Linked DNA regions of Canis lupus familiaris. The protein of the gene in region 1 interacts with the protein of each later gene in a biochemical or structural test. Links are inferred from orthologs where the notes say so. Each region holds a gene or a part of one and is shown on either strand. Other genes may lie near its edges.

Evidence for each region.
Region 2: the proteins of SMURF2 (region 1) and SMAD2 form a complex in vitro, tested with the Homo sapiens proteins (3 studies listed by BioGRID and IntAct, with this or other methods). The link is inferred for Canis lupus familiaris from reciprocal best matches to the Homo sapiens genes SMURF2 and SMAD2.

The regions. Positions count from the first base shown.
Region 1 is NC_049230.1:14,572,385-14,576,194, reverse strand, and holds part of SMURF2 (E3 ubiquitin-protein ligase SMURF2), read right to left. Parts: intron 3,036-3,810; coding exon 2,960-3,035; intron 2,708-2,959; coding exon 2,608-2,707; 3' UTR 1-2,607. UniProt on the Homo sapiens protein: E3 ubiquitin-protein ligase which accepts ubiquitin from an E2 ubiquitin-conjugating enzyme in the form of a thioester and then directly transfers the ubiquitin to targeted substrates.
Region 2 is NC_049228.1:43,687,240-43,691,530, reverse strand, and holds the start of SMAD2 (mothers against decapentaplegic homolog 2), read right to left. Parts: upstream 2,895-4,291; 5' UTR 2,797-2,894; intron 2,411-2,796; exon of another isoform or gene 2,327-2,410; intron 1-2,326. UniProt on the Homo sapiens protein: Receptor-regulated SMAD (R-SMAD) that is an intracellular signal transducer and transcriptional modulator activated by TGF-beta (transforming growth factor) and activin type 1 receptor kinases.

The DNA.
Region 1 (3,810 bases):
CTTTACATCAAGAAATTAGACCCTCTGAAACAAAACTCACCTCTGTACTGCATATGAGCTCTACAAAGTAATCACTGTTCATAATTAAGCACTCATGATGGAGAGGCACTGTATGGAAACGTGACATCACATATCTGGAATAACACAACTAGGGGCAGGGAGCAGAAAAACCCAGCTAAGAGGGATGTGTGGAAATAAATATTCACATTACACATGAGGGGCGAGTCTCAGATTCAATGACACAGTGGGGGTTTAGTTTGCTTAGCACCTGTTTGGAAGTAATCAGGTAACGTAATTTTGAAAAATGAAATCTAAATCATGTCTTTATAAATCATGTTGGTGATACCATAGACTGCTAGGGTAGATTTCTTTTAAAGCTCTATTAAGTCATCATTATAAAGTTAAAAAGGCACTCAAAAGCGATGGTACTAGCCTGCTTTACTGTACGTTATGATAGTAGCATTTACTCCTGCATCCATTGGTTAGGACTTCTCTAATGTGTTCAGCATGGACTTCGTTTTTGGAAGATTGTAACAGTAGGCACAATCACACTGCACTAGTGCTTTAATATAACATACAAGAGATGAGTCTGCAGCCGATAAGGTACTACCGTGAAAGCTGACAACTGATGGAGTTTAGAAACCTTTTCTGTACATTTCAAGATGTTCTCGAGTGCTACTAAGACACAAGGTGTCTGGGAAGGAAAAGGTCAGTGGAAGCACGTTACCACCGCACAGGACTACGACTAGCTTGCATGTAGCGGTCCAATTTGGCTGAATGAAATAAATTCAAATGCTTCGAAACTACACAAGCAGTTCTCAACTCTTTTTTTCTAAACAGCAAAATTTCTGCTTCTTTTATCCCCGCCCGCCTCCACCTCCCACCTCTGGGAAAACTTACTTGGAATTCCAATACATAAAAGAGAGGACTTGGGAGCTGCTCCTGTACAAGGGGTTGAGGGTGGGGAGTTAGAGGCTCCAACTCAAATACCAACCAGGCCCCTCCTCTCCCTCCATCCCCTTCTCTCTTAAACCACTACTTCTGAGGCACCTCAGAGGAACCCCTTGGTTCGTGAACACAGACTGAAAACCAATCCATCAGATGAAAGAACACAAAGGGCCTATTCACTTGATAATTAAGCTGCAACATTTCCAAGGAGCTATCTCATCAAAATTTGCCCTTCTTGATTCACATCTGTGTAAGAAAAAATATATATAGTGCAGATTTCTGATAGTTGGATTTTAAAAGCCACCCATGACTTCAGATTTTTTCAATCCTTTACTCCAGAATTTTGGTTACCTTCTGGATCATGCAACATGCCACACACCTTGAAAGCTCAATCTGGGTATTTCAAAATCAGACACTGATCAACACCCAGGGAACTGGGATTCCCTTACCTCCAAAACAGAATTCTTCCGTTCTAAAGTAATTTATACCATAGATTCAGAATCACTATTTCTCCAGTAATCCTACCCCCTCCTCACCCCTACCTTCATTTTGTTAGGTAAAAACAGGGGTTTTCTAAGCTGGCTGAATAAAATTTTTCCTTTGTCATAATTTTAGCTGATTAAAATATTGAGCAGCTAAACAAAGATTGTGGATGGTTTACTTGATAGAAAGCTAGACCATAATTAAAATATAAATTAGGTGCACTTGTCATAGGAGACTTTGGTTTACAGAAATAGTATATATATTAAAGATACGCTGACCCAGCAAAAGAATGAAAATCCCATCCCATCCAACAATCTGAGGACCTATAAAAATGCAGTATTTCCATTTAAGATGAAGTAAATCCCAAATACCTGATCATACTGATTCAAGATAAAAAAATTAGGATTTTTTTAAAAGTCTCTTAAAAAAAGGAGCCCCTGAATGCATCTTACTGTATCAAATAAGCTAAGTTTAGACTAAATGGTTGCATTAGGAATCTGACAACCAAAATTATGTGGCTGTATTCCAGGAAGTTCGTGCTTGAAAAATATACAAAAGACTTACTTAGGCTAGTTTGAAACATATAATGCTTTTAAAATATAATGCTTTGCTATAGAAAAATGTAATTAAACATGTAAATGGCTTAATTGTTTTTTAAAGATAATGATTCCTTTAGCCAATTGTTTACAAAGGTAGAATAATTCAAAATAATTTTATTTATTTTTCTTTTACAAAGAGCAAGTACAGGAGCTGTTCAAAATCATGTATTCAATCAAAATGAAATGTGACGTGTACCGACTGCTGAAGTTGTCTTGATGTTTGAGAGACTTGAAATCTGTGGAGCAATTTGAATAGATTACCTTTTATAAAAATAGTAGTAGTCTTTAAGTGTAGAATACTGCCTAACTCTGGAAATGTAGGAAAAGTCAGCATTCTTTAGGTTCAAGATATTAATTTTAAATAGCAGCTGAGTGTGGCCTCATGGCAAAGCATAAAGACCTCTTTTTTTTCCTTGAAAAGGAATTTCAAAATTGTCCTTTCCCCTCACAGTGTCCTAAAAATCTTTTGGGGGGGGGGGGAGGCATTTTCCTGTATTTCAGCATTCCGCGAAACTTTGCTGAAAGGAGGCTGTCGGTCGGGGTATAAATAGAGTCCTGGGTAAATCCTTGAAGTCCGTCATTCCACAGCAAACCCACATGTTTCTTCAATGGCTGTTAGCAGCTTTTCATATAACTTTTCATAGCTTTCATAGGGCGGAATGTCTATTCGATTGAAGCTGTAAATGAGCAAATCAGATTGACACAGTTCATTCAGAATAAGCAAACTGGTCTAGCAAGTGTATACTAATACAGTCACATCACATTTCATGACACACAGAAAATTAAAAGAAAAAGTTGTACTCCTCTAAAGTAGAGACTGCCACTTTCAGGCTTTCCTACCAATTTCTGCATAATCTCAAATTCAAATCGGTTTAAACCTAACACCTACGTACATGGAATGCAGGGGAAAAGCTTCAAAAACAACTTACCAAGTGTGGGCTTTCGGCAGGTTGTTAGTGCAAGCATCAATCTGGTGTATGGTGAAGAGTCGTGGGCCTGCAGCGCCTGCAAAAGAAGTCAATGTGGGTCACGTCACTGTAGGTGTGTGTGTGAGTCTCCAAAATCTCAGAATAAAACTGATACGTAAACCACAAGGCCTAAGATGGAACCACTGGTGACTCCACATAAGCTGCCAAGGGCAGGAGAAAAAGAATCTGGGTCTTGAAAAATGAAATTGACCTTGGATAAACACTGGATTCCTTAATATGCTAGCATATCAATTTGAGAAAAGGCCCAGGATTGGAATCCTTTGCCAACTTCTTCTATTAAAAAATCAATGTGCCAAATGTATGAGAAGAAAAGTAAATGGATAAATTCAAGATCAAATATATATATACACACATTCAAAAAGATGACAACCTAAATGCAAATTTAGATTTCATGCCTCAAACCTGGCCGAGAGCAAAAGATTAGCAGTCCATGGAATAAATTCCAGTTAACATAAGACACCCCATAAAAGTGTATGTAGAAATATAGCTTCACTTTACGCTTCTGGGTAGTCTGCTAACAAGTTCTCCAAGTAAGGAATTAAGCACAACTCCAAGGATGCCTTCCCTGTCTGTGGACTTCCAACACGTGTGCTGCGGGCAACGCTGTCCTGTCTGGCTGTGTAGGTCTTCAGATGTGACTGGTGGCAGCAGCCTTGCAAATGAAGAGCTTCAGAGGGAAAGGAAGCAAGTGCCACCCAGCGAAGCGCCACAATCCTTAGAGATATTGCCAACTCGCCCCCAAATTAAATAGCTATGCCGCAGAAAATAAGTCTTAAAAATGGAGTATGTTT
Region 2 (4,291 bases), on another chromosome or scaffold:
TGGTTCCTCTCCTCCCATCAGAAGACAAGGGATCTAAAAGACATGCCCCTCTCCATCCTTTAAAAGGGACTTGTCCCAAGAACATGAATAAGCCCCCATCTGCCAGACTGCACTAAATACAGCTTTTATATGCATTACAAAAACACCTGTATAAAAAGCTGCTACAAAACAAGGCCTTTGGAGCCCTAAAGCACAAAACCAACAGAATAAAAACCAAACAAGAATAAGGGGAGCTTTCAGACATTTATAAAAGCCCAAACTGAAAATATTTGCTAAATATAAAAATGGGTCTTTGATCAGTGGATGATGCAGCTCAACTGTTTTTCACTCACATATCTCCCCCCAACGTGAAGTAACAAGATTATGGCAATATGATTCTAATATTTACAGTAGGAAAATGAAAAGGGGACCTTTTGCCATCTTGAAGTAGAAACCAGCTTTGTTCCTATTAAAGAGAAAGGACTGCTGAAATACACAAAACCATCCCCAAATCCCTACTTAGTTAAAACACATACCGGGCCTGACAAGCCACAAACAACAGGAAATTACCCTGCATGGTTTCTTACAAGACTATTATTACATGAACCTTACAGACTGTGTAGAGATTTGATCACTTATGCCTAGGCACAGGTAAGAAGTTACAGCCACGAAAACCTAACTCTTGCTGAACACCTACAATGTGAAAGCACTATAGAAGGCATAGCTACAAAGTACAAAAGCGAAGCCCAAAGAGCGATTTCTTACTAAACAAGCCCAGAAATGGATGTTTCCTATCACATTTATAAAAACTGGCCACTGAACTACCTTAAACTCAACTTTAAGAGAACTAAGTGAGCACCTGGACTCAAAATATTCTTATTTACTACCGTAACTAGTTTTATGGCAAAAACTAAGGAACCTTAAAAATAAAGTCAGCGTTACTTTCTAAATTTAATGTAAATGTTTGGTAAATGACCGTCTGATTCAGAAAAATTCCACCAATATCCTGTATGGTTTTTTTCAAAGCAAATGAAAAAATAAAATCTTCAAACTAGGACACATTTATGAAATCCGTTTCACGTTATCTCTCCCAACTGTTACATTTGCTTCCCTTATCTCTTTATTTACATTAAAACTCCTCAAACTTCATTTAACTATTTAACTTACACTTCTACCTAAGAAAAACTTTTTAAAGGGAGTCAAAATCAAAAGTAGAACAATAGCAAATGTATTTTCAGAGTGGTAGCAAATTTGTTTTCTTATTCTGCTCAAGGAAAAACTTCCTTACAATCAGTGGTACAGGTTCAATTCACACAAAATTCAGAAGGAAAATGGAAAGGAACTAAGACTGCAGAATCATTAAAAATTCTGTAAATTAACTCAGATTTTGGGGGGGGGGGCACTTTCGAAAAATGGAATAACTCCAAGCAGGTCTGCAGTGACCATTTATTTATTCATTAATAGTTACTTTACATGTGTTACTTTAGAAGTTCAAGACAGCAAAATTGAGGACACTTAAAAGTGTAACAAACAAGACACGGTTTTCACGGAAAATGCTACTTCCAGAATCGTTCCACCCGGAGATGGTTTTTAAAATAATGGTTTAATGAACAACCAGCCGGTAGTATTTAGCTTTTAAGGGGTCAAGAGGAAGGAACACCAAAACCAACCTAGGTATTGTTTTTTCTTTTGTTTAGGATCAAAAGGAAACCATAACCACAGAAAGGTTAAGTAAGTAAAAGGCAAAAGTACCCAACCCCAAGGACAGTATCCCCCAAGAGAGAACAAAACCATTAAGGTTGCAAATGTGTAAACCAAGTTTGAAATACGTGAAATCAATTAGCGTGCTTTCTAAAAGGCGTGTGATAAAAACCAACAGGCTCCACTCCCAGGGCAACTTTCACAAGTGAGTGCAGGATCTCCACGGAGGATCAGCCGTGTGCCTGCTTGTGCAGAGTACACGCGAGCAGTTCCGAACCCCGGGTTTAGAATGGTTAACAAAGGTTACAGGACCAAAAAAAAAAAAAAAAAAAGTGGAAGCGAAGTATCGCACGCTCCTACCAGGGCTTGCCAACAACTCCCGAAACAAGAAGAGCTCGGTCCCTCCGGCTTTGAAAATCAGAACCACAAAGTACGAAGCGTGTTCGCGGCAGGGGAGACGGGCCACGGCCGGGCAGCTCCGGCGCCGACCCAGGCCCCGCGCCCCCCCGCGCCCCCCCGCGCCCCCGGCCCCGACCCCGCCACACCCCGGCCCCCAGGGCCGTGCGACGCGCCGAGCCTCGCCGAGACCCGAGCCCGACGCAAACACACCCCTACCCCGAGGGCCCGCCGGGCGCCGCCGCTTTACCTGCACCGGGGCTCCGGGTCCCGCCCCGTCAGAGCCGGGGGTCCGGGACCTTTTGTTCCTTCCTCTTCCGAATGGGATGAGGGGCTGGGAGGGGAGAGGGGAAGGGGCGACTGGAGGCGGAACTGAAAACACTCCCGCGGCCGCCCGGCCCGGCCCGGCCCGCCCCGCCCCCCAGCCAGTGCCCGGCCCGCGGCCCCGCGCGCGGGGAGGGGACGCGGGCTCGGCCACCGCCCGCGGGAGGGAGGGGGTGGGGACGCGCGTCCCGCCGCCGCCGCCGCCGCCGCCGCCGCCGCCGCCGCGCCGCGCCGCCGCCCCTCCTCCCCTCGGGCGCGAGCCCGCCCGCATCCCCCGCCCCCCGCCCCGGGCCGCCCGGACGGCCGAGCCCTCCCCCGCCGCGCCCGCCGGCCCACCTCCGCTTCCGCCCTGCGCCCTCCGCCGCCGGCCGCAGCGGCGCGGCGCGGCGCACCCACCTTCGGGCGGCTGGCTCGGCGCTCGCTGGCTGCTGGCTGGGAGCTGCTCCGCCGCCGCCGCGGCCGCGCGGTAGACCCGCCTCCCACCCCGGGCCGCGAGCCCCGCCGATTCGCCGGCGCAGCCCCGGGGCTGGCACCCTGCCGCCCGCTGATTGGCGCCCCCGGCCGCCCGTTAGGGCGCGAGGCACGCCGGCCGAGCGCAGCGCCCGGCGCGCACGGAAGACGGGGCGAGCGGAGGAGGGAAGGAGGGAGGCCGAGCGCCCGGGAAGGGCCGGGGCGCGAGCGGGGCTCGGAGACTCGCGGGCCACTACCTCCCCACCTCCGCTCCCTTCGGCCGCCCCGCCCTCCCGGCCGGACCGGCGGCGCGCGCAGCCAATGAGCGCGCGCGGTGCTCGGGGTGTGAGCCGCGCGTCGGGGGCCTCGAATCGGAAGGGAGACGTCGCTCGCTGATTGGTCCCGCCTCCCCCGTAGAGCGTGAGGCGAGGCGCGGCCGCCGGGCGGGCGGGCGGGCGGCCGGGGCCGAGGCGGGGTGGCACGCCCGCGGCCTCGGCTGGCGACGTCTGGGGCGCGCTGCCGCGGGCGGCTCCGCGGCGGGAAGGCGCGGGACCTGCCGCGCTGCCGGCCCCGGCCCGGCCCCGCCCCGCCGTCCTGCCCGCGCCATTGGGTGGGGCCCGTGGGCCGCCGCCGAGCCCACCGCCCGGACCCCGCCGCGAGCGGACACGTGCTCGTCCCGGGGGAGGCCCGAGGGCCGCCTCGAGGACGCGCCGAGCCGGGGCCGGGCCGACCGCGCCGAGTGAGTGGGCGGGGCCCTCGTGCAGCCGAACGGGGCGGGGGCCGAGCCGCAAACCGGCGCTGGCGGGGCTCTTCTCCGGGCCCCCGCGGCGGGCGGGGGGATGCCAGGTGTTTCTGAAGAGCCGGGACGTGGTTCCGCCTTCGCGGAAGGTGGTGCGACTGCCGCATGCTCCGAGAGGCCCTCGCCAGGTCTAGACGCTAGGAGCCTAACACGATGCTCCTCACCGCTCTCTGGCCCTCCCTTCCTCCTCGTTTCTCCGGCGTCCAGGCGGTGTTCGCAGGCCCCGACCCGGAGGCCCTAAGCTGCCGGCCGCCCAGGCCGTCCAGGCCGCCCAAAGCCGGGGGGGCGGCTGGGCATCCGCACTGCCGTAACCTTGTCGCTTTGACCCTGCAGACACCAAGCCTCGGCCGGAAGCATGGACCCCGACTAATCACGTTCAAGTATTTACTTACTAAGCATCTACTATGTTTGGCGGCGAGCACCGTAGGACTACAGATGAAGAGAGACCTAGGTCTTAGGGCAGGCTGTCGGTGCCAGAGCCAGCACTACAAACACCATTTTCTTGGCTCCCTGGCCAGCACGCATCGTCATCAGTCCTTAGGAACAGGTAATACCGGATGACCGTTTCAAACAGCAAGAGGCCTTGAAGCTTACTCTCTCTTTTCAGAAACGAAAGCCTCCCGGAAGACAGCACCTTCAGAT